Linked DNA regions of Arabidopsis thaliana. The protein of the gene in region 1 interacts with the protein of each later gene in a pairwise test. Each region holds a gene or a part of one and is shown on either strand. Other genes may lie near its edges.

Region 1 (12,496 bases):
TACAAATGACAGAACCCACGGATCAGCTTCGCCTTGTAAAGAGAATCTGCTGCGATCTCCATCCTCCTCATCCGAGCCATGTCACGGAAAAAGGCTAAGATCTCCTCCGATGAAGTCTCGACGGAGCGTGACGGTGATTCACATAGATGCGATGTGAAAGGGACGGCGGTTTCGATTGTGATCGGTGATGAGTCTGTGGAAACATGACGGCGGATGGAGGAGGGCAAGGCGGTAATCGCCGGCTTTAGGAAAGTGTTGGATCGTGAAGAAAGTCGTGATAACGCCATCGCCGAAGCTCTCCGATTTGCTTTTAGAAATTCTCTTTTTTGCAGTCAAAAATCGAATCTTTTTAAAGTGAGGGAAAGAGTTAGGAGAGGGCGAAGCGTCGTTTATGGAAAAGGTCAAACCTTTTATGGTCATTTGACTCATTTCTATATAACATACCATAACAAAATGAAATTTTTGATAAATGTTACAACAACATACAAAACTTTACAACAAGAGAGTGAATAAAGACAAACTTTACATATGTAACATCATTTTTGTGAGTGATTGTTTTCTTTTTCAGTCACAGACAACAAAAAGCCAAATCCTTTGTTGCTTCTTCTTCTTATGAAGATAGAGAATGCAGTTTGGCTCTATCCGGTGAAGTCAACAATGGAGAATTGCCACTTTTGTTTTTGTTTTGTCTCTGTTAAGTTGGAGAGTGAATGAACAAGTTGAGTTGATTTGGTATCCTTCTTCCAGATTGTTACAGGCTGGTCACAAGAAGTTATTTTTGTAATATTGTAACCTCATTTGCCTTACCCAAGAATCCTGATTGTGGCACAAAGTTTTTCTTCTCTTTTTAACTCGCACCAACAAATCTTCTGTTTCTAGTACATAGGAGACCTGCAAGAGATTTTCAAGAACGTGCTTTCAAGTGCTGGTCTCTCATGGATATACTCATAAGCGGTAAGCGTGATATAGGGAAGAAGATAAAAGTGTTACCTTTGAAGAACCGCAAGCTATCTTACACTCCAAACCATTTTTGATCTTAACTTCATCTGTGCTGTATAACTGTTCATCTTCACGACAAACTTTGCGCTTGTTCCTGGAGAAAACGAAAAATGGCATTGGCTTTGATGAGTGACCCACTAGGTTTCAGAGATCAAGGGACAGTCATTTGTTCATGTTTTACATTTACCTATTTAAATAGATTCTGCGATCCTCCCTTGCATTTGGTTGTATGGAGAGGAAGTCATTGTGGAGATAAGCTGCAAAGGTCGGGTCAATGGATACAGATGTCACATCGGGCTTATCAAGACCGTTGCACATAAGCTGAATAGAGAGTTTCGCTGGGGTTGATAATCTCTGCATACACATGAGGTTTTGGAGTCCAAAAGCATGATCAGCAGTGCATCGACAGAATATAAGTAGCTAATGTAAGATGCAGCAAAAACTTACACATTCAATACGGTAAATATTCTCATCAGGGAGGAGGACACGGGTATTATCGTAATACACAGCATCAAAAATCGTTTCAGGCCTTCTGGATTTCTCATAAAAATAAAGCTGAAGAAGCTTGTTGTCCATCTCATCAGCTACTACTACTTGTAGCTGAAGAATGACCACACGTATGTTAGTAAAAAGCAAGTAAAGATAGAGAGGTGAATACATAGAGAAAACATCAAAGAGCAAAAATACTCACATGCTTGATGAATTTATGGATCAGTTTGTCCAATGTGAAGAGAATATAAGACTGAGTCCCGATTATCGCTCGGCAGTCATCTTCAAACTTGGCATTATCAGATGTACCATCAAGTAAGTTGTAGAGTGCAGTCATGAATCTGTTCCACATTAATTAAAGTTATAAGTATGGAGCACATATGAATCCCAGAAACACACACAATCTCTGCAATAAAAAGCAAATTTCACCTAGCATAGGAATCAGTAGGATTTTTGGTATTTGAGGTCCTCCACTTTCCTTCCGGGGATGATGAGTTAACTTTTGCTGATAGTATTCTCTCATACAATATCTGTCAAGAGTAATAGCGTAAAGTTAGCTAGTGAAAACTCTTTGTACTTTAGATTATACTGTTTATAATTTTTTCAAACTGTATATGATCTTTAGCTCTTACCCGGTGCAGCCTGAAAAGCACGTAAAACGAATCATTTCCATAGAAAACTTGGGAGTTCTTCAGAGAGTCTTTGTCCTTGTCATGCAAAGCTATAGCTGAAGGAACATACTTTACTAAGGGCTTTACATGCAGCAAGAATCGTGCTGAAACGGGTAAGGCAGACCCATTTTCTTCAGCATCATGTGCATCAGCCATACATTCAGCCTCACCTTCGCTTTCTCCTTTGTTATTGTTATCCAAATCATCCTCCGGATCTTCACCACCACCAGATTCCGTTCCAGAAACATCACCGTTCTCATATTCATTTCTGCTGTCCTCTGATGATCTTGCGGCGTTTTCGTCACCTTCAGCGTCATTCTCAGCCCTTGTCTCCAGACAAGATGGTTCCCCTTCTCTACTTCTATCTCCGCTAATGTTATTTCCAGTACTATCATTCGCTTTGCTGAAGGTCTCAAAATCAGTTTTTGCATAAACTGCAAAATTATCTTCCTCAAAGTCTCCATTTGGAGAAAGTTCACCTTCTTCTCTTTCAACTTTGGATGTTCCTGCCATCTCTTGGTCACTTGTTATTTCTACCGCGATCCCATTTGTCAATAACTTCTTGTTACCAACCTGTGAGACAAAGTTTATCAGTACCACCTCTTGGTTAACACAGAACTAAGGGTGTGTAACTTCAAATTTTAAAACTATCTAAGTTCCATATGAAGGACCTAAGCACCAAGTGCAAACAATGGGAGATATTGTTCCATATCAACAAAATTCGGTCCTTCATTTGAAATGAGTCATCTATATAGAAAGTATCAGATCAAAATATAAGATGATGGGACTAAAACGTGCTTCACTGAAACTATACCTCTAATTTTGGCCCATTACCATCATTCATTTTCAACTCCAACTCTGTTCCACAGGTCACAGGCTTCAGATTATTATTGCAATGTCCTGACCAAGTAAAGAGGAAACTATTCATTAACTGTACAAAGAAAATGAAAAATTCCAAGAGAACTAACTTCTAAGCAAGATTTTGAGGTGTTACCGGTCATGTGTACTATACTGCTTCCTCCATTACTTTGATCTAATAATCCATCCACAGCGAGAGCAGTTGAATCGTGTGCACGCTCAATAGAAACAGCTTGCTTGCTTTCAGGCTTTTCATCAGACGTAACTACATTCTTCAGCATTTTCTCATGCTGAGCAGTCTCACATAAGGCATCTGATGTCCTACCAGCGGCGCCATCCCTCTCCGAATTACTAGTTTGCCCCAACTGACTATGTTCATTAGCTTTTCGAGATGACTTTGAGCGTCTAGAGTCGGCAACACTAGCGTAATTGTGAGGACTTCCCTCACTCTCGCCAGCACTTGAACTACCGCTCTTTACATTCTGGTTCATGGACTTGACAACGTCTTCTTGGTCTTCAGCACCTTGAGGGCGAGAAGGAACACCAAATATTTGTTCCACGAAAGTTGTCCAAATCTTCATTACCTTATCTAACTGTTCGGTAGAGCACATTTCTGCACACGAATATTTGATCAGCTGGTAAAGATCTTCATGAAGGTCATGATCCGGATAATCAAACTCCAAATCTGGGGAAATGGATAGTCTATTTCCGGCTGCAAATGCAAGAAGTGAATCATCCTCTCGCTTCTTTTCAGTAATCTCTTTTATCTCTGCCAACAATGCTACAGAAAAAATATAGTACATAAAGTCACTTGCTTGATATAATAGAATAATGTGTGTAATAGGTTACGGACAAACCTTTCATGCTCAGCTTCTTTGAATCCTGCTGTTTGAAGTAGAAACTTCGATGATCAAGCGACTTGTAGTAATTCTTAGCATATATCTCAGCCCAGACTTTGTCAAAATCAGAACGACACCTTGCCCACTCTTCTTGCTTCTGTTTCAAACGTGTTAGGATAACAGGTAAAGCAAGAGACACGTTCTTCTTCAGCACATCCATCACATCGAGCCCGTGATCACCATACAACCGTTCTATGCATCTTAAGTTTAGAGCTACAAAGACAGTAACAAAGCAATCCATTAAAAAAAAAAAAAAATTTAAAGAGCTCAGCTGCTAGTGATTTAACATCCATGCTGCTTATTGTTTTACACCAGCTTATGTTACCTGTGAGGTGATCCTCGACACGGATGGGACTGTTGGTTTTCAGTTCATTACTGTTAATTTTTGTCAATAATTCTTCCACATGCTTTGTCGTTGAATTTACAGACTCTAATAGCATGTCCAGCTCAAACCTATAGCATAAAGAGAGGAATAATGGCTCACAATTTGACACAGAAAATGGCTCACAATAACAGGTCAGTAACCAATTTTTTTTTTTAAAGTATGGAATATAGGTTTCCAGTCCACCATTAGAAGTTGATTAACCAACCTGTCATCCTCACATTTGAAGAGGCTCTCTTCATACTGGTTCTTACGCATGTGGCTAAATGAATAATCTTCACTTCCTGATGTGACGGAGACCCAGTGATCATTAAGAACCAGTTTACCGATCTCTGTCTTCTGGCTTGCAATAGAAATTGGGTACTGCAAAAAGTATAATGTCTTACATTAGACTAATGAAACAAAAGATGAACTCAAGAATAGTAGATCCACATATAAAAGGCTGCAGCCACATACATTCTTTGGAAGTAACCGATAACTAGGAGTGCATTGTTCACAGTTCGAGAGATCTAGTTCACTGATTGGCTTTGCCCATTTCAGATTTGCAGCTGCTTTTTCAAGCCTTTCCTTTTCATGATCTCTATCTCTAAGCCCGTCATCTCTCTTATGTTCCTGGTCTCTATCATTGTCCAGTGACGGTTGAGGATATTTGCCTTCACTCCACAAGGATTCTGCAGTATAGTTTAGAATGGATTTGTTTTCTTTTCAGAACTAGAAATGGATATATCTGGAAAGAAGATCAAATTTCATAGTGGAGTTGTGTAGTTTCACTACTCGTGAATACTTCAAATATATCTCAGCATCAGATTCATGTACCCTTGCAAAAGATAAGTAGACTTACTCTTAGTCAGAATACCAGAGAGCAGTCCTTCTGCAAGAAGATTCAAAAGGTTACAAATCTGTCTTTTTTCTGAAATCAATGAATGTAGGAAGAGAGAAACATAGATTTGCCTCGTTACCATTCTTTTCACATTGCACCAAAAACTCTATAAAGGAATCCATGAGGTCAGGATATACTCCGATTAAATTCCCTACCTGATACAAGCACAAATGTTCATGAATCATTGCAAACAAATGCCACAGTGAAAATTTAAGCATTTTATTTATTCATACCAAAGATTGCAGTTCTGGTCGGCTGATTATCTCTTTTGAAAAGAGATTAAGACAACGTAAAAACTCCTGGTACTCTGAGGCGTTAAGCTTTTCCTTTACTCTATCGACAATAGCTAGATCTTGACTGTAACCTGACATCACATCAAACAAATATAAGTACACATGGAATAGCGAACGACAAACTCACTCCTTATCTTTCAAATTAGTTGTCATAAAACGAGAACTCACTTTTCATGGCACCTTTTTCATCATAAGTAGATGAACTAGGAACCGCTCCAGAAAGTTTACTTTGATTGGAAATTTCAGCAGGATCATCGCCTCTAATATGTAGTTTCTGCTTCTTGTTGAGAAATTGCTCTTTTTTGCTATGTGGTTCGAAATCTCTGGCATCCCTATGCTCATTTTCTTTGTTAGTACCTCTCATGTGTTCTTTATTTTCTTTCTTAATAGGTCTCTCCCGGTCCTGGTCAATATGTTCAGTACCATAGTCATGGTCAGGATGTGGAGTAATGATCCGGTCCTTCTGCAACAATTTCCAATCAAATGATGTTCAATAAAAGATTAGACATATAGAACATTGTATTTCTAGGAAAATAAAAGTCTGAGAAGAACCTTATCAGCCAGAGAAACCCCTCTCTCACGAACTGAAGTTTTAACAGATGGAATAGAGGCCGTTGCTGAAGTATCAGGTAGAAAGTGAGTAAACTCCACGAGCAGATCTGAATGATCCCGAAATAGGATCGCAACCTGAGATAGACATGTAAAACCTAAGTACAGAATAGCAACAAAAAAAAGATACACATAACAGCATCAATGAGCCTACCTCCTGGTAGACCTCAGTGATGGACTTGCTATCCCTTCTGTACATGTTTAAAATGTCTAAAAATGATTTGTATACACGATCATCTCCCTGAAACCTTGTCTGCAAATCAATGAATATCGAAGAGAGTAAGAAAGGGAAAAGCAGTAATTTCCTTGAGACAGTTTAGCACATAAACATATATATACCTTAATCTTGTTAACAAAGCTAATAGCTTCCTCAAACTCAACACGTTTCTTCAGTGGAGGTTGTCCATCCTCAGGTTGAAGTGTGATCTCAAAACCCTTAGGCAAGAAAGTATTAAACCCCAAAATCAACTCTTGGTGTCCTTTGAAAAGTTCTTTTACCCTAGTTATCACACCAGCTGTATCAACTCTACAATGAAAAACACAATTAAGCAATCAGTTCTCAGATACCAAGTTTTTAACCTAAACATAACAAGGAGAAGAAAAAAACTATACCTTTGAGATTTAAAATTCTTCATAACCTCGAGAAACTCGTCATATTTTCCACGTTGATCCTGAAATTTGTCCTTCACGGCTTTAAGATATGCAAGAGCGTCGTTTGTAGTTAGCTTCTGAGCACTTCCTCCTCCAACCATGGTGTTTGAAGTTGAACAGAGCTTCATTACCATTAAAAAAAACAGATCATTTAGAAAGCTATTCAACATCTCATAAGACCAAAGAACGTTTCTTTAGAGAATTCAAGTAAAATTTGGGATTCAGCAAAAGAACAAAAGCTGAAAACAACTTTCTTCATGTTCATCTACAAATCAAAACCTAGTAAAACTCAAAATCAATCACATAAACAAGGAAAATTCAAAGAACCGAACTTGAATTTCATCCCAATAAGCAACACCTGTAGATCTAGCAGCTACAGAAACAATTTATGAAGAAAAAACAAAAGGAGACGGACCAGAAAAAATCGATCTTAACTTAATCCTCAGATTATTTCACATTCAGTTCACGATTAAAATTGTAATACCCAAAAATCAAACAGAAAGGATAAAAAACGAAAGAAGATCATCATCGTTTATGTGTTAGAGAGTTTACCGAAGAAATTCAGAGAAGACGAAGAAGAAGAAGAAGAAGAAGTCTAGAAGAAGAAGCTTCCTCCGACGAAACAGCTGAGAAGACAAAAACTATTCAACAATTTTCAGACAGAAAGAAAAGACTCACTGAGCAAACGAGAGTTTTATGTTTTTATGAAGAAAGGATTGAGATTTCTCTCAAAGGAGTTTTACGTCTTCTTAAGTAAATTAAAATCTACATATTTAATACACTTTCTCGTTCGCTAAATTTTTCGTTTACTTACTTATTTCATTTTTCTGTTGACAAAAAATAAAATAAAAATCAAAGTTGTATTTTCTTGTTTTTATTACTTCCTTTTGTTGGTTGTATCATTTTAGGAGACTTATAATTTATCTTCTTCTTTTATTATTTTTAACATTTTTTTTCTTTTGGAAGTTTTTATCTCCTTTGGTATGTGAGAGAGACATACTTAATTTTGAAAATTTTTGATATAAAATAAATTATTCATTTTTTTTGGAAATAATTTTGTAATTAAAAAGTTTTAGATGATTAATCATATTATTAATAGATGTTTTTTTTCTCTTTATTTTGGTCAACATAGATGTTTTTTCTTAAAATTTCTAAGTTAATTACTTAATGCAAAACCTATCAAAATTATTAATGGGGAAAAAATGTTCTAAAATCATTGATGTAAATGGAATCTATATTACATTACACGGTTAGATTTTGCTTAAATCTAAAAAATAATATTTGGCTAACATTAATAGAAGAATAATTTAACTCTAACTTGATTAAAACCATAAAAACGGAACATATTATTCGCCTTTTAAATTCATTTTTTTTTTATCGGCATTACTATCTTTCCGGTAGACCGAAAACTTTGTCACCTTGTTCGTAGAATAATTCCGATAACCCTTATCCTCATGTTACACATAGTAAACTCATAGGTAAGCATTGAAATAACTAGGTAAAAAAAAAAGCATTGAATAACTATAGATGATGGTAATTTTGAATTTTGATAGTGGCTATAATTTATAGGGAAAAGAAAGCTATTAATCATGCATATTAAAAAGAAAAAACCTCTACTATTATCTCTGACTTGTAACTTTAAAAAAAAAAAACTACTTATATGTGAAGCGATTGAAGTAACATAGCAATCCTTTCGTCACAAAAAACTCTGAGAAATAGTTGGCAGAAAGCAATCCAACTCTTCAAGCAAATCAGGATGATCTATGCAAAACTGTGAATGCAACAAGGCTGTTGCTGGAGTAGCTGGAGTAGCAGGCAGAAAGTGAGTAAACTCCACAAGCAAATTGTTATGATCTAGAAATAGGATGGCAACCTGATAAGATAAACGTGTGAAACTAAGTAAAATATTAGCAATAAAAAAAAAAAAACTTAGTATGAATCAATGAGCCTACCTCCCGGTAGACCGCGGTGATGGGCTTCCTATCCTTTCTGTACATGTTTAAAATGTCTAAAACTGATTTGTATACACGATCATCGCCCTGAAACCTTGTCTGCAAATGAATGAATAACTAAGAGAGTAGGAAAGGGAAAAGCAGTAATTTCCTTGGACAGTTTATAACACATAAACATATATACCTTAATCTTGTTAATAAAACTAATTGCTTCCCCTAACTCGACAGGTTTCTTCTGTGAAGGTTGTTCATGATGTGTGATCATATAACCATTTGGTAAGAAGGCATTGAAACCCAAAAGTAATCCTTGTTGTTCTTTCAAGAGTTCTTTCATCCTTATTATAACACCAGATATATCAATTCTATACAACACAATAGTCGGTAATCAGTTCTCAGAAACCATGGAGTTTTACCTAAACCAAGACCAAATGCAAACATAAAAGTAGAAAGAACTTTAACCTCTGAGTTTTATAATCTATCATGATCTGAAGAAACTCGTCATATTTTTCACGTTGACCTTGAAATTTAGCCTTCACGGCTCTAAGGTATTTAAGCGCGTCATTTGTAGTAGGCTTGTGTGCGCCTCCTTCTCCAACCATGGTTTGAAGTTTAGGAAAGCTTTATTGTTCAAAGAGAGGCAGCCAAAAAAAAAGGTGAAACATTATTAGAATCAAAAGATGGTGCAAGGTTTCTTCAAAAAATATTGGATCCTTGAACAACCCCAAAGTCTTAACAACAAAACAATTCATTCCTCAAGGTGATCCATTATTAGTTATCACACGTAACCTACACATGTGAAGTAGTCAATTCAAACACAGGGCAAACCAGTCAAGTATTGGATTTAGATATGTCCTACTCTCATTCTTAACCAAAGATACCCCAATTCAGAGATTGCCATAGTATTAAGTCTGACGGGATTAGATTAACACTTTTTATTGGGGACAAAACAAAACTCATATCTAGTTTTGAGACTTCAAGTTGATTAAACTTCATCAGTCGGATTTGATATCTTATCACATATTACGAAAAATATATTCAAGGAACTCGATATCATCCCACGAATACAAATTACAACAAGCAACAGATCTAGCAACTACAAAGGCAATGAACAAAGAAAATAAAACTTGTAGTGGACGTAACGAAGATCACACAAAAAAGAAGAAGAACACATGTGTATAGGTACCAAAGACGAATGAAGAAGGCTTCACGATCACGAGCACGAAGCAGGGGAGACGAGTTTCTAGTCTCGGTAGGGTTTTGTTTATGTATTATGATTCCAAGGTTATGTAAGATTTTCTATTTATTTTAATGATTTTTTTTTATTATTTGGTGTATTTTAATTAATTATGTACTTTTTTTAAAAGGGTTAAATCATCCATTTTTGTAACTTTACCCTCCACCTCCAATATATGCAGATTAATCTTATAAAGTTTAAAATAATACGCAATATGACATTTATACGTATATTGTAAACGTTTTTACGATGATATACATTAGAATTTTAAAATTTTGAAGGCAGAGTTGAACTCTTCATCGTGAGGGTTTAGATTTAATATATTACATGTCAATATTTTACAAAATTAATAGTAAAGAAAAAAACAAAGAAGGGTTACAATGCGTATTATTTTAGACTTCATAGGATTAATCTCAATATGTTGGAGGTGAAGGATAAAATTGTAAAAATGGATGAGTTCGAAGTGTTTTTTTACACAAAACCCTTTTTTTAACAACCATTAATTAAGTACATAACAAAACTAAGAAATGAGTTTTAAAAAAATGTTTGATCTTTCATAGGTTTTTCATCAGTAAAATTCAACATAAACAAAATAAGGTTATGAGAAGTATTTTTGAGTTTTGTGACACTTTGAGTTTCAATCATCTGAGTATATCAAATTCAAATCTCATCCTCTTCATGGTGAAAAGCAAAGATTTAAAACCTCTACAAAAGAAACTATACACTCCATTCTCATTCATAAAAAATACATCACTCGTTATAATTGTAGTAGTAGTGATGCTGTTGATACAGGGTTCTTTGTGAAAAATCTGAGAAAGTCTTCAATCAAATCTTCATGATAGAAGAGAACATCAATGACCTGCAAGATAATATTATTTCTAACCAAATCAAACAAAGAGAACCAAAAAAAAAAAAAAAAAACACAAGTACACAAAATAGCCCACCAAGAACAAACATTACCTCCTCTTGCACCTCCTTTACCGACATCTTTCCCTCTTTAAACATCTTCATTAACCCGCGAATTGCCCCCACTACATGAGTATCAAGGCTCTGAAACCGTGTCTGCAGATGGACAAATTTGCTCTAGTTAGTAAAAGAGGAATCAAAAAAGGATTTTGGTGTTTCTCTCCAAGGATTATTTGTCATTTTAGCATGTGTTTACCTTGAGCTTGTTTATAAAATCCTCTACAGAAACAGGTGGAAGGAAGACACTGAAACCAAGAAGAAGATCCTGATGATCTTTCATCAGTTCCTCCACCCTTGCAATGACACTATATTTATCGACTCTGCAAAAAGAGACTAGTAACATCAGAATCAATTCACAGTTGAAAGTAAAGACCAAACCAAATATAACAGGGAAGAAAAGAATACATACCTATGATCACAAACACCATTCAAGAGCTTGATAAACTCTTGATATTTCGTAGGTTCATCATGAAATGTTTCCTTCACAGCAATGATGTATGAATGCGCATCATCCTTAGTTAGAGCAGGTGATACTCGTCTTCCAACCATGGTTTGAATCTAGCCTTTTGTTATCAAAAGAAAGAGAAGATTTTTGTTCAGTAAAACAGATCACATCATTGAATTTAACCTAGAAGCTATTATTACCACTTGAAGAAACAGAACCTAGAGTGCAGAAATCTTAATAACATTACTTAAATCTATGATTTGCCTCAACACTGAAATTGAACAAGACATAAAGCTGCAATAAGCTAAATTTCTCAAAATCCAAATAATTGTCAAAACCAAAATCAACAACAACTAATTCATTCCCATCAGAACCAACGTGAGAACTTGTGTAAAGTGGCCAATATCAACACAGAGCAAACCAACCAAACACTTAGAAGTCTTAAAATCTCAGTCTTAACAAAAACAATAAGAAGTTAATTCGCTAATTTGAGGGTTTAAATCGGATTTGATGAAATTCAGGTAAAATTGATCACACAGGTACGAAATTAAATTCGAAGAACCCAATTCGAAATCATCCCAGAAACTACAAAATCATTCAATGACAATAAGAGAAGAAGATCATCGTATAGTTACCGAAATTCGAAGACAAAAAGGGCTTCCCTAGCTTACGAGTTACGACACACGATCTCGAAGAAGCAGGAGACTAGAACTAGAAGAAGAGATTTCTCTAGGGTTTAGTTTCCGACACTTAACGTTGGATTATATAATTAAGGATTACATCAAAAGTACGGTTTAAAAAAGGAAAAAGGCAAATCTTCTTCTTTTTTTTAATTAATTAATTAAAACTTTTTAATTGAGAAAAGTAAAAAAAGTAAAAAATGTGAAATGCTAATTTTAGTATAGGGATGATCTAATCGAAAATAGAGATTAATGTTTAGACTAAAGAGATAATTTCCCCAAAACATATATTTCTTAGTTTGACTTTGACATAACATTACATACATATATGTGTTAAATTAATTTGATATGGTTAATGTTTAGGAACTACAGTATTTTCTAATACAACATCACATTCAACAACTCTAATTAATAGTCAATAGCAACACCTAGTATACATTCCTAGTATAAATTTGATAACAACACCTAGTATACTTTGCTTTTTATAC
Region 2 (10,258 bases), on another chromosome or scaffold:
TCAATGTTGTTCTTTTTGACAAGTTTAAACCTCGATTCGACCTTCTTCTTCAATCCATGGTGAAAGAATTCAGGATAAGAAGCCACTTCATCCATGCCTCTTCCCATCACCTGGACGAGGAATCTGATCCTAGGCTGTAGTGAATTCTTAACACTCTTAATCAAGATTTGGGGATAACCAGTGACCATGGTTGCTATCTGGGAATCTCCAAACCCACACTCCTTCAAATAATCATAATTTGGTTTGAGAATCTTGTTAACGTCTCTGCACAAAAGTTGTGGGAAATTCATGACCACCGACTTAATGCCATCCTCACTCAGGCCAACGGATGATTTCAAGAATTCAGTGGTAGGCCGTAACCTTTTATCAACACTGTACCCCATAAGAAATGGGTTCTTCACCAGAACTTTGCCAATCATCCCATCTTGATCAAGGCCAAGGCTAGCAAGAAAGCTGACGATCACTGTCAGCTTGGTGTCGATGCTGTAGCTGATAAGCCTTGGGTTAAAAAGTATCATTTTGCCAAGTTGAGTCTCAGGCACACCTAACGCTTGAAAGAAAGCAAGAAGGGGACAGAGTTTCTCCTCCACGCTATGAGAGAGTATTGGAGGAAATTTGGTAATGGCGGAAGCAACTTCCCGAGGATTCCTTCCAAGACTGGAGAGGCACTCGACCATCGGGATGAGTCTCTCATCGAGGCGTAAAGTCAGGATTTTGGGGCATCGAGAGACGATGTAAGGGAGTTTTCTCTCTTGGATACCAACAATGTTACTCAGGTAGTCCCAGTTTTCTGATGCCACATCGCTTTGAGCCTTTTCCAACTGTTTGCATTTTCTCAACATCTTGTCGATACTCGGATCATCGAAACCTTTGTCCCTGAAGAACCACATGATGCTGCTCGTATTTGTCACCTCCATATAAACGCCACTACAACACACCAATTTTGCTTAACTTAGAGATGATTCGAGCTTTAACAAGGAAGTAGAGAGGAATTTACCTTGGAGGAGAGCCTTTCCGGCTATCCAATTGAACTGAAAGTGAGAAGCTTATCCACACGGAGGAGTGAGGACCTTCTTTCTTTCTTATACCCCCTGTAGAGTAAATGACTGTTATATCCCTCAATCCTTCTCGCGTGACTAAACCCTCCCCTTCTTCTCTCTCCGTCAAAATCTGCAAAACCCTAACTTTTCGAATCAGCGGCAGATAACGATGGTGCCTTCCTCCAAAGCCGTCGTTTTTGCAAGGCAGATGGCGAAGCAGATTCGTGTTACGACGCCGTCGATGTCCGCAACACGCTTTCTCTCAACGGGCGACAATGGTCAAGTAGACGAGCAGCAGAACCCTCCAGAGCCCTTACCCAACAGACCCTTGCGAGGGGAGAGATCTTCCAACTCTCACAGAGAACCACCCGCTAGACAAGCCCACAACCTTGGAAAGAGTGATACTACTCTGTCTGACGATGGCTTCCTCGAACAGTTCAAGCTTGGAGTCAATCAGGATTCACGGGAAACCCCCAAACCGGAACAATACCCGCAGGAGCCCTTACCGCCGCCTGAGGATTCCGATGAGATCTTCAAGAAGATGAAGGAAGGAGGTCTCATCCCTAACGCCGTCGCCATGCTTGACGGCCTCTGCAAAGATGGGCTTGTACAAGAGGCCATGAAGCTTTTCGGATTGATGCGTGACAAGGGTACAATCCCTGAGGTCGTTATCTACACTGCTGTCGTTGAGGCCTTTTGCAAGGCTCATAAAATTGAAGACGCTAAGAGGATTTTCAGGAAAATGCAGAACAATGGGATTGCCCCTAATGCCTTCAGCTACGGTGTGTTGGTTCAGGGATTGTATAATTGCAACATGCTTGACGATGCTGTTGCTTTCTGTAGTGAGATGCTTGAGTCTGGTCACTCTCCTAACGTCCCCACTTTCGTTGAATTGGTTGATGCCTTGTGCAGAGTAAAGGGGGTTGAACAAGCCCAGTCCGCTATTGATACCTTAAACCAAAAAGGATTTGCCGTTAATGTTAAGGCTGTCAAGGAGTTCATGGATAAAAGGGCTCCATTTCCGTCTTTGGCTTGGGAAGCCATCTTCAAGAAGAAACCAACCGAGAAACCCTTCTGATTTACTTACGCAGTGCTGTTAAGTATGCCGTCTCAGTAAGATGTTTTCTTGACTTGTAATAACAACCTTGAAAGTGAAAATCAATATGAGTCTTCCTTTTTCTGCTTGGAGTCAGGTATCGAGTTTTTTTTTTTTTCCTATGTCCTTTAAAAATGTGTAGTTGTAGATGTAGTTCCCTGTTTTCATGCATTCTAATATTGATTGCAAGTTCAATGAATAGCGTTGTGTTGGCGGTATAGGGTGTCAAATTATGCTTGACGCTTATCAGTCATTACCAATGATGTATGTGACTGTCTATTGCAAATGTGGCCGACTTCATGAACAAATATGAACAATAGTATCATTGGTTACATACACCAGGCATAAAACTACATCATCCTCCAAAGGCACTGCTGATCTCAGGGACGTGGAGGTCTGTTCTGTAGAAGCTGGCGCTATATTGAATACAAAATGCGTGGAGTCAACATTAAAATAGTTTTTATGATTCACTCGGAGATCTTTACTTGATTTGGTCGGCTGTATTATATTCGTGAACTCGGAAGTCAAGGCCTGTCTTGATGGAAGAATGACTCCTTACTTTTAATATATATATAAATAATACACTGGATATGAATGCCATCTTTTGTTTGTTTACTTTTGGCGTCATGTGATTCTTGTATTGTTTACTATTGTTAAATGCAAGTATCAGGTAGTGCTTAAGATGGAAGCATGTGCATCTCGTATGTTGACCATAACCTCTCCAAGAGTTTTCTTGGAGTTGGGAGAATCGCTGACTTGATTAAAGAAAAACAACAAAAGAATATAATAAGAGATGGGAGGTGGGGTCGGCGCCGTCCCTACTCGATGATATTAGTCTATAAAAGAGAGGGAAGGAATGAGGTAAAGAAGCAGAAAGCTGGAGAAAGATGATTTCAATGTTGTTTCCGCGGTCGCCTTTGTGCACAGCAGCCATAGTATTCTACACATGTGTGTGCATTCCCTTGGGGAGGTTGAAGAAGAATGGTGGAGATGCGGATGCGCATGATGATGACGGTTACAACCTAGTGGGAGTGATGTTTGGGGACAAGGAAAAGGAGGAGGAAATTTGCTGCCCCATATGCCTGGTGGAGTTTGAGGCTGAGGATGCGGTGACCCATCTTCCCAGATGCGCTCATCTCTTCCATATCAATTGCATAGAACCTTGGCTTCTCCGTGGCCACCTCACTTGCCCTCTCTGCAGATCATTTGTATTGGCTCCAACTCCTCCTACACAAAATGTCAATAATGCACACTCCTCTTCCACCTTGTATCTCTCTATCTTCTTCTTTTTCTGTATCTTTCTCCATCTACTTGGATACTTGTAGCCTAGCTTCCTTGTTAACACACCCATTCTTTATTTAACATGTATTTTGTCTTAGTTTCCAAGCACATATTGTCTCCATCTCCTTTTCAATCAAGATTTTGTGGATTACTCAGTTTTATGATATACTGTACTAAACAGAGACAAAAGCAGCACGAGTTTAGTTTTACCAGCCTTGCCTAGTGCCTACTGCTGCTCTAGTGCTCTGTTTCCTAATTGATTTGTTACTCTGCGTAAGACCATTAAGTAAACGGGCTAAAGGCAACTTAATAGGCCTTATTTTTAAAACACATTAAAAGTGGGCCTCATTTTAAACCATAACAGATTAAAAGTGGGCCTTTCCATTATAAACTGAAAGTAGAAAAAGTTGGAAGAGAAGAGTAAGTAGGCTACAGTTTCAGTCAGAGGTGAAAGAAAATCTGAAAGCAAAGCAGAGAGCAGCTCCCTTCCCCTCGGCGAGGAGGAAGGAAGAAGAAAGCCAGAGAGAGAGAGAGAGATCATCGCAGCTTCTCCTCCGACCATTTGACTGCGACTGTGATTACAACACACCGTTGATCCTACGAAAAAGGTCAGTCAGACTCTCTTCCTTGTCTGCGTGATTCCATTTTCCGGCGTCTGTCTAGCCTCGCCGTCTTTTAATATCTTTCACTCGCCTTCCTGTCTCTTCTGCACACTAGATTTGATTTTTTCGTAACTTAAAAAAATGTTGTTGTTGTCATTCAAACGCGTCCATGGCTCAGCTACTCCGCGGCTAGGGTTTAGTTATCATTTTTTAATAATATAATTTTTATGGATCGGCGTGCGTGCAGAGGTAATGGATACTGGCGGCAATTCGCTGGCGTCCGGACCTGATGGTGTGAAGAGGAAAGTTTGTTATTTCTATGACCCTGAGGTCGGCAATTACTACTATGGCCAAGGTCATCCCATGAAGCCCCATCGCATCCGCATGACCCATGCCCTCCTCGCTCACTACGGTCTCCTTCAGCATATGCAGGTTCTCAAGCCCTTCCCTGCCCGCGACCGTGATCTCTGCCGCTTCCACGCCGACGACTATGTCTCTTTTCTCCGCAGCATTACCCCTGAAACCCAGCAAGATCAGATTCGCCAACTTAAGCGCTTCAATGTTGGTGAAGACTGTCCCGTCTTTGACGGCCTTTATTCCTTTTGCCAGACCTATGCTGGAGGATCTGTTGGTGGCTCTGTCAAGCTTAACCACGGCCTCTGCGATATTGCCATCAACTGGGCTGGTGGTCTCCATCACGCTAAGAAGTGCGAGGCCTCTGGCTTCTGTTACGTCAATGATATCGTCTTAGCTATCCTAGAGCTCCTTAAGCAGCATGAGGTTTGTCCACCTGCACCGTTTTGATATATGCTAGGGATGGTTATGTCGTTTCTGAATCTCTAACTCTTCCTCTCTCGTTTGCAGCGTGTTCTTTATGTCGATATTGATATCCACCACGGGGATGGAGTGGAGGAGGCATTTTATGCTACTGACAGGGTTATGACTGTCTCGTTTCATAAATTTGGTGATTACTTTCCCGGTACAGGTCACATTCAGGATATAGGTTATGGTAGCGGAAAGTACTATTCTCTCAATGTACCACTGGATGATGGAATCGATGATGAGAGCTATCATCTGTTATTCAAGCCCATCATGGGGAAAGTTATGGAAATTTTCCGACCAGGGGCTGTGGTATTGCAATGTGGTGCTGATTCATTGTCTGGTGATAGGTTGGGGTGCTTTAATCTTTCAATCAAAGGTCATGCTGAGTGCGTCAAATTTATGAGATCGTTCAATGTTCCCCTACTGCTCTTGGGTGGTGGTGGTTACACTATCCGCAATGTTGCCCGTTGCTGGTGCTACGAGGTACTTTCTTCTGTTCATTTTATGCTGCTCTAGCTTTGCATTGAAATTTCCTTGGTCTCTGTACCAAGGTTAGCCCTCTGTGACGCCTCTCTTTCTTTGAATTTATTACAACAAACTGTTTATATGACAGACTGGAGTTGCACTTGGAGTTGAAGTTGAAGACAAGATGCCGGAGCATGAATATTATGAATACTTTGGTCCAGACTATACACTTCACGTTGCTCCAAGTAACATGGAAAATAAGAATTCTCGTCAGATGCTTGAAGAGATTCGCAATGACCTTCTCCACAATCTCTCTAAGCTTCAGCATGCTCCAAGTGTACCATTTCAGGAAAGACCACCTGATACAGAGACTCCCGAGGTATGCCACTTGAGCAAATCATTTGAAGTGTGTTGGCTCCTTTATTTCTGTTGCCCATTCTTTCTTGCATTTCCTCATGGGTTTTGGTGAGCTTATCTAAGTGTAACTGCAGTTACAATAAGAATTTTCTAATTTAAACAGCTGGGCTGGTAAATAATGTTCGTCCAGTTAGATATGTATAAGTATTCCTTGATTGATGACTCTGGTTGTTACCAATCTTAGTTTTGTAAAATATGCCTTCTATGTAAATTATAGGTTGATGAAGACCAAGAAGATGGGGATAAAAGATGGGATCCGGATTCAGACATGGATGTTGATGATGACCGGTATGAAATATATATGTTTCCTCCCCTTTTTATTTTTGGTTCGAGTCAGCGGTGTAATGTTTACTTAATGTGGGATCGCATTGTGCAGTAAACCTATACCAAGCAGAGTAAAAAGAGAAGCTGTTGAACCAGATACAAAGGACAAGGTACTACAGCATTATCTCTTAATTGTTTCGATTTCTCAGACACTTTTTCTGGTACAAACATTTGAAGTCATTAGTTCATCTAGGTTTACAGCATTTTCCAGAACAGCACAATGTGCTCTGATAACATTACACTTTTTCTCATCCCGAGACCCAAAACCTAAAGATTCCAGAATGAGTCTCATTCTGACATTAAGTCAGTTAGTTTAAGCTGGAGATACATTCACATGAGGGTAGCGAATCTTTAGCTACGGTTAAATCATTTAGCCTAGGCTATTTATTTAGTATGCTCCCAGCTCCAACAATTGACCTGATTAGATAGTGTGACCGTCTAGCCAAGCTGAGCTGAATCATCTCTGCCTCTCAATTCCTAAAGCCGTCTCCTTTTCTTCCGAGATTAATTTATTTATCATGGCATGTTGTTCGTGCAGGATGGACTGAAAGGAATTATGGAGCGTGGAAAAGGTTGTGAGGTGGAGGTGGATGAGAGTGGAAGCACTAAGGTAAAATGAAGCAGTGGACAGGGCTGAAAAGGGTGGGAATGGTGGTTTTCTAAAGTGGTTAGTTTTGATTGCAGGTTACAGGAGTAAACCCAGTGGGAGTGGAGGAAGCAAGTGTGAAAATGGAAGAGGAAGGAACAAACAAGGGTGGGGCGGAGCAGGCGTTTCCTCCTAAAACATAAGACTCGGAGCTTCTAATTTCTTGCTACTTTTTCTGTCTATCAAATGTTGCTAGTTAAGTTTCTGGAGTTGTTGTTGTTGTAAGCACTCCTCTGTTTTAGAGGATTGAGCACGGATATGTATTTATTCGTTGCATGTCTGAATGATGATATGATATGACAAGACGAGCTATTCCTTTTGCTATATATTTATTGATTGGGCCGAAGAGATCTGCGTCTGCCCACCCCAAAAAAATAAAGAATTGATGTGCTAAACGCAGCAATGAACATCATCAACTAGTGAAGTGGGTGGAGAAGATGTTTTCCTGTAACACAATTGATTTCTAACTCTAAATTAAAAAAATGTAAATCCCTTTAAGACTATTAAGCGTCTCTCTGTCTGTCTCTCGTCGTTCTCGTTTTTGATTGCTTAGTTTTTTCCCGGGAGACTGAAACATGTTCACGGCGGCAGCTTCGTCAAGCGTGGGAAGGTGGCGGACGGCGTTTCTCTCTCTCAGGGACGAAATCTCAACCACTCCACCGCCGCCGGTTCCTCTGTTGCTCGAGGATCTACTCTTCTCTCAATCCCATTCCCTTATCTCTGCCGTCTCTCACCTCCCACTGCACGAGCTCACTTCCGATTGCTTGTTCCTGCTCGATTTGGTTTCCAAAGCTGATGGTCCTGACTGGATCCCTGTCTCTCGTCATACTTGTCAACTGGTGCGTCTTCTCCTTCTCTCCTCCCATCATTTCCTTGTTATTAATGGGATCTCTCCTCCTTTTTATTAATCCAGATTCACGATGTTTGTGCTCGTCTACTTTTCCAACTAAATTCTTCGTCATGGCCGCTCCTTCTTCACTCTTTTGCTTCTGTCTTGGAGTTTCTTCTTCGCCAACCCATGCCTTCTTCACCTTATTCCGCTGCCTATTTCTCCAGAATCGAACCTGTGATCCAATGCTTCGAGACTTTAAGGTTATTATATATCTTCTCACAATCTTGCTGACATTGTTTAAACCTTATTCGTAATCTCCTCTTCCTTTTCCCAGACGTTTGGCCCCTATGCATCCGGAGAACATTCATCTAGTCAAGTTTCTTGTGCGCGTAGTTCCTTTATTACACCAGGATTTAGTTTTATCCTATGGTTTCTCAAATCAAGACCCTTCTCCTACTTTACTTGTGGAAAAGAAACTGCCTCAACAGAATCGCTTATGGGATTCCATGGCTCTTGCCTTTGACATGTTTGGTAGAGCATTTTCTCTATCTGAGTCTTTGTTTCCTACTGACGTCTCCCAATGCACGCTAGAGGTAATCTTCCCCTTCACTGATCGATCCTCTCATTTCTCTCATATGCTTTGTTTCTCAACTTGGTGAATTCTCATATAGGTTCTAAGGAAAGTAATGGACGTATTAGCATCTAAGGGCCAGCTTGTCGAAGACCGATTCATGTGGAGGTATATGCCTTTGGTTTTGTGGAGACTACAATTTACTCCTTTTTTTCTGGGTTCTATTAGACTTGTTGCCCTCTTAGGTAATATTCATTTCTTAATTTTCTACAGCTTTTATTCATGCCTTCTAGGCTGTGTGCACGAGGTCCTTACAAATATCAAATGTCCTGTTTCTGATCACGTAAGTGGGTTCTTGATACCCTTTGCTCCTCCTCTTAGCCTTGGATAAGTGATTTTCTGGTTTAACCTCCATATCAGACTTTTTTCCTTTGTTTAAGCAGATTTTTTAAATGTTGCAGGTCTTAAGTTTCATAGCGTCATTGAGAATGTTTTTCTGTTTTGGACTTACTGGCCCACCTCAGTTATCAGTTTCTGATGTTGTTCACAACGATAAGCATTTGAATGTCAAGCTTTCTCCATTGATTTCTGGAGTAAGTAAGAATGCCAAGAATACTCCTTATAGGCCACCCCACTTGCGCAAGAGGGATGATTTGAACACTAGGCAGCCAGTGTCTTCAAGCTGGCGGCGCCTATCTGCTCATGATTCTGGTAGTTCTGATGTTATATCATCAGATTCCGATTTTAGTGACAGTGACGGCTCCGTACCGGATTCTTATTTTGCCCAAAGCTCCAAGGTTAGAATAGCTGCAATTGTTTGCATACAGGTGAGTAACAATGTATTATTCTTAGTTGGTTCTCATCTTCTACTTAACTTTTCAGTGACAATTACTTATTCATTTTCTTTTTTTCCTGTTAAGGATCTTTGCCAGGCTGATTCAAAGTCATTTACCACTCAGTGGGTGACTCTCTTTCCAACAAGTGATGTACTCAAGCCAAGGTGGAAAATTAACCTACAACATCTTTTGTCACCATACCGTAGTATTTTCTTGTCTCCTTAACTTTCCGAGATCATTAACAGGAAGTTTGAAGCTACTCTAATGACCTGCTTGCTTTTTGATCCTCATTTGAAGGTGGTTATTCTTGTCCCTTTTCAAGTAATTGAGGCACATATTTCGATGCTGTTCTTCATTTTTCACCTTCCCAATAACTTTTATGGTTAAGCAAGTATGTCTAGAGATGTTTTTGTGGCTCAACTTCATGACTGCTGAATCCTGACAATACTTTTTTGTTTACCTTGCAATGTCTAGGTAAGGATTGCATCTGCGTCAGCTCTTGCCACCATGATGGATGGGCCTTCATCTATTTTCCTTCAAGTGGCAGAGTACAAGGAATCTACTAAATATGGATCATTTATGCCCCTCTCCAATTCCCTTGGTCTAATATTAATGCAACTCCACACAGGTTTTCAACGACATTAATTGTCTTAACCTTTTTCTTCTTGTCTGGCTATTAGTTATTCCTTGTTAACCAAGATTTTTATGCCTTTCGTATGGGTGTAGGCATTCTACATTTGATTCACAGTGATAATCATGGTAGATTGTTGATTCAGCTGTTCAAGATCCTCTTGCTTCTAATATCAAGCACACCGTACGTACATTTCTTCTGTGTTTTATTTTATTAGCTCCTCATGATTAAAATGATATTCGTTTTATTGTAAAAGTATTGTATCTTTTTAAAGGTATTTGATATCCGTTATTATAAACCCATAATGGCTCTTGATTAAGATTTACATTTGAGTAAGTGAATTAGGAAAGCTTCATGAATACATGCGTAGACCCAGCTCCGTTTAGCTAATGTTATCTTCTTATTAAAATTTGCAACTACTTTTGGATTTTGTATGAGATTTTCATGTGTTCTTTAACGTTTGTTATCATTTTCAGTTACTCGAGAATGCCGGGAGAATTGCTGCCAAAAGTTATAATGTCTCTGCATGCTAGGATTAATGAGGGCTTTCCTTTCAAAAATGATAAAACTGGTCTGCTGGTTAGTGCTTCCTTTTCCTTATGTTGTTTTGTCTGTTAGCTGTCTTCGTTTATGATGGATATATGATTTTACATTTCATATCTAGGTTTTCATTCTTGGACTATCCTAGTTTCCAT

What was found.
Region 2: the proteins of SNL3 (region 1) and HD1 interact in a two-hybrid assay, tested with the Arabidopsis thaliana proteins (one study listed by BioGRID).

Annotation. Positions count from the first base shown.
Region 1 is NC_003070.9:8,563,096-8,575,591, forward strand, and holds SNL3 (SIN3-like 3), read right to left. Parts: upstream 7,442-12,496; 5' UTR 7,284-7,441; intron 6,854-7,283; 5' UTR 6,833-6,853; coding exon 6,693-6,832; intron 6,607-6,692; coding exon 6,420-6,606; intron 6,334-6,419; coding exon 6,235-6,333; intron 6,159-6,234; coding exon 6,024-6,158; intron 5,935-6,023; coding exon 5,640-5,934; intron 5,543-5,639; coding exon 5,412-5,542; intron 5,334-5,411; coding exon 5,258-5,333; intron 5,170-5,257; coding exon 5,140-5,169; coding exon of another isoform or gene 5,115-5,139; intron 4,970-5,114; coding exon 4,755-4,969; intron 4,662-4,754; coding exon 4,507-4,661; intron 4,370-4,506; coding exon 4,242-4,369; intron 4,130-4,241; coding exon 3,875-4,129; intron 3,799-3,874; coding exon 3,154-3,798; intron 3,060-3,153; coding exon 2,974-3,059; intron 2,733-2,973; coding exon 2,121-2,732; intron 2,019-2,120; coding exon 1,918-2,018; intron 1,830-1,917; coding exon 1,691-1,829; intron 1,600-1,690; coding exon 1,447-1,599; and 11 more. Other genes in the region: IAR4 (thiamine diphosphate-binding fold (THDP-binding) superfamily protein), read right to left, coding at 1-287; AT1G24200 (Paired amphipathic helix (PAH2) superfamily protein), read right to left, coding at 8,078-8,182, 8,536-8,604, 8,684-8,782, 8,868-9,045, 9,143-9,282; AT1G24210 (Paired amphipathic helix (PAH2) superfamily protein), read right to left, coding at 10,675-10,776, 10,878-10,979, 11,080-11,203, 11,293-11,432. UniProt on the Arabidopsis thaliana protein: Acts as a transcriptional repressor. Interacts with ERF7 to repress genes in abscisic acid and drought stress responses. The heterodimer represses transcription by tethering SNL3 to DNA.
Region 2 is NC_003075.7:17,893,071-17,903,328, reverse strand, and holds HD1 (histone deacetylase 1), read left to right. Parts: upstream 1-3,819; 5' UTR 3,820-4,025; intron 4,026-4,266; 5' UTR 4,267-4,271; coding exon 4,272-4,799; intron 4,800-4,883; coding exon 4,884-5,324; intron 5,325-5,454; coding exon 5,455-5,685; intron 5,686-5,940; coding exon 5,941-6,011; intron 6,012-6,099; coding exon 6,100-6,157; intron 6,158-6,585; coding exon 6,586-6,657; coding exon of another isoform or gene 6,658-6,666; exon of another isoform or gene 6,667-6,731; coding exon 6,732-6,836; 3' UTR 6,837-7,051; downstream 7,052-10,258. Other genes in the region: pde191 (Mitochondrial transcription termination factor family protein), read right to left, coding at 1-917; AT4G38150 (Pentatricopeptide repeat (PPR) superfamily protein), read left to right, coding at 1,210-2,118; AT4G38140 (RING/U-box superfamily protein), read left to right, coding at 3,024-3,461; AT4G38120 (ARM repeat superfamily protein), read left to right, coding at 7,269-7,532, 7,607-7,785, 7,860-8,118, 8,197-8,264, 8,370-8,439, 8,558-8,923, 9,017-9,096, 9,178-9,229 and 3 more. UniProt on the Arabidopsis thaliana protein: Responsible for the deacetylation of lysine residues on the N-terminal part of the core histones (H2A, H2B, H3 and H4).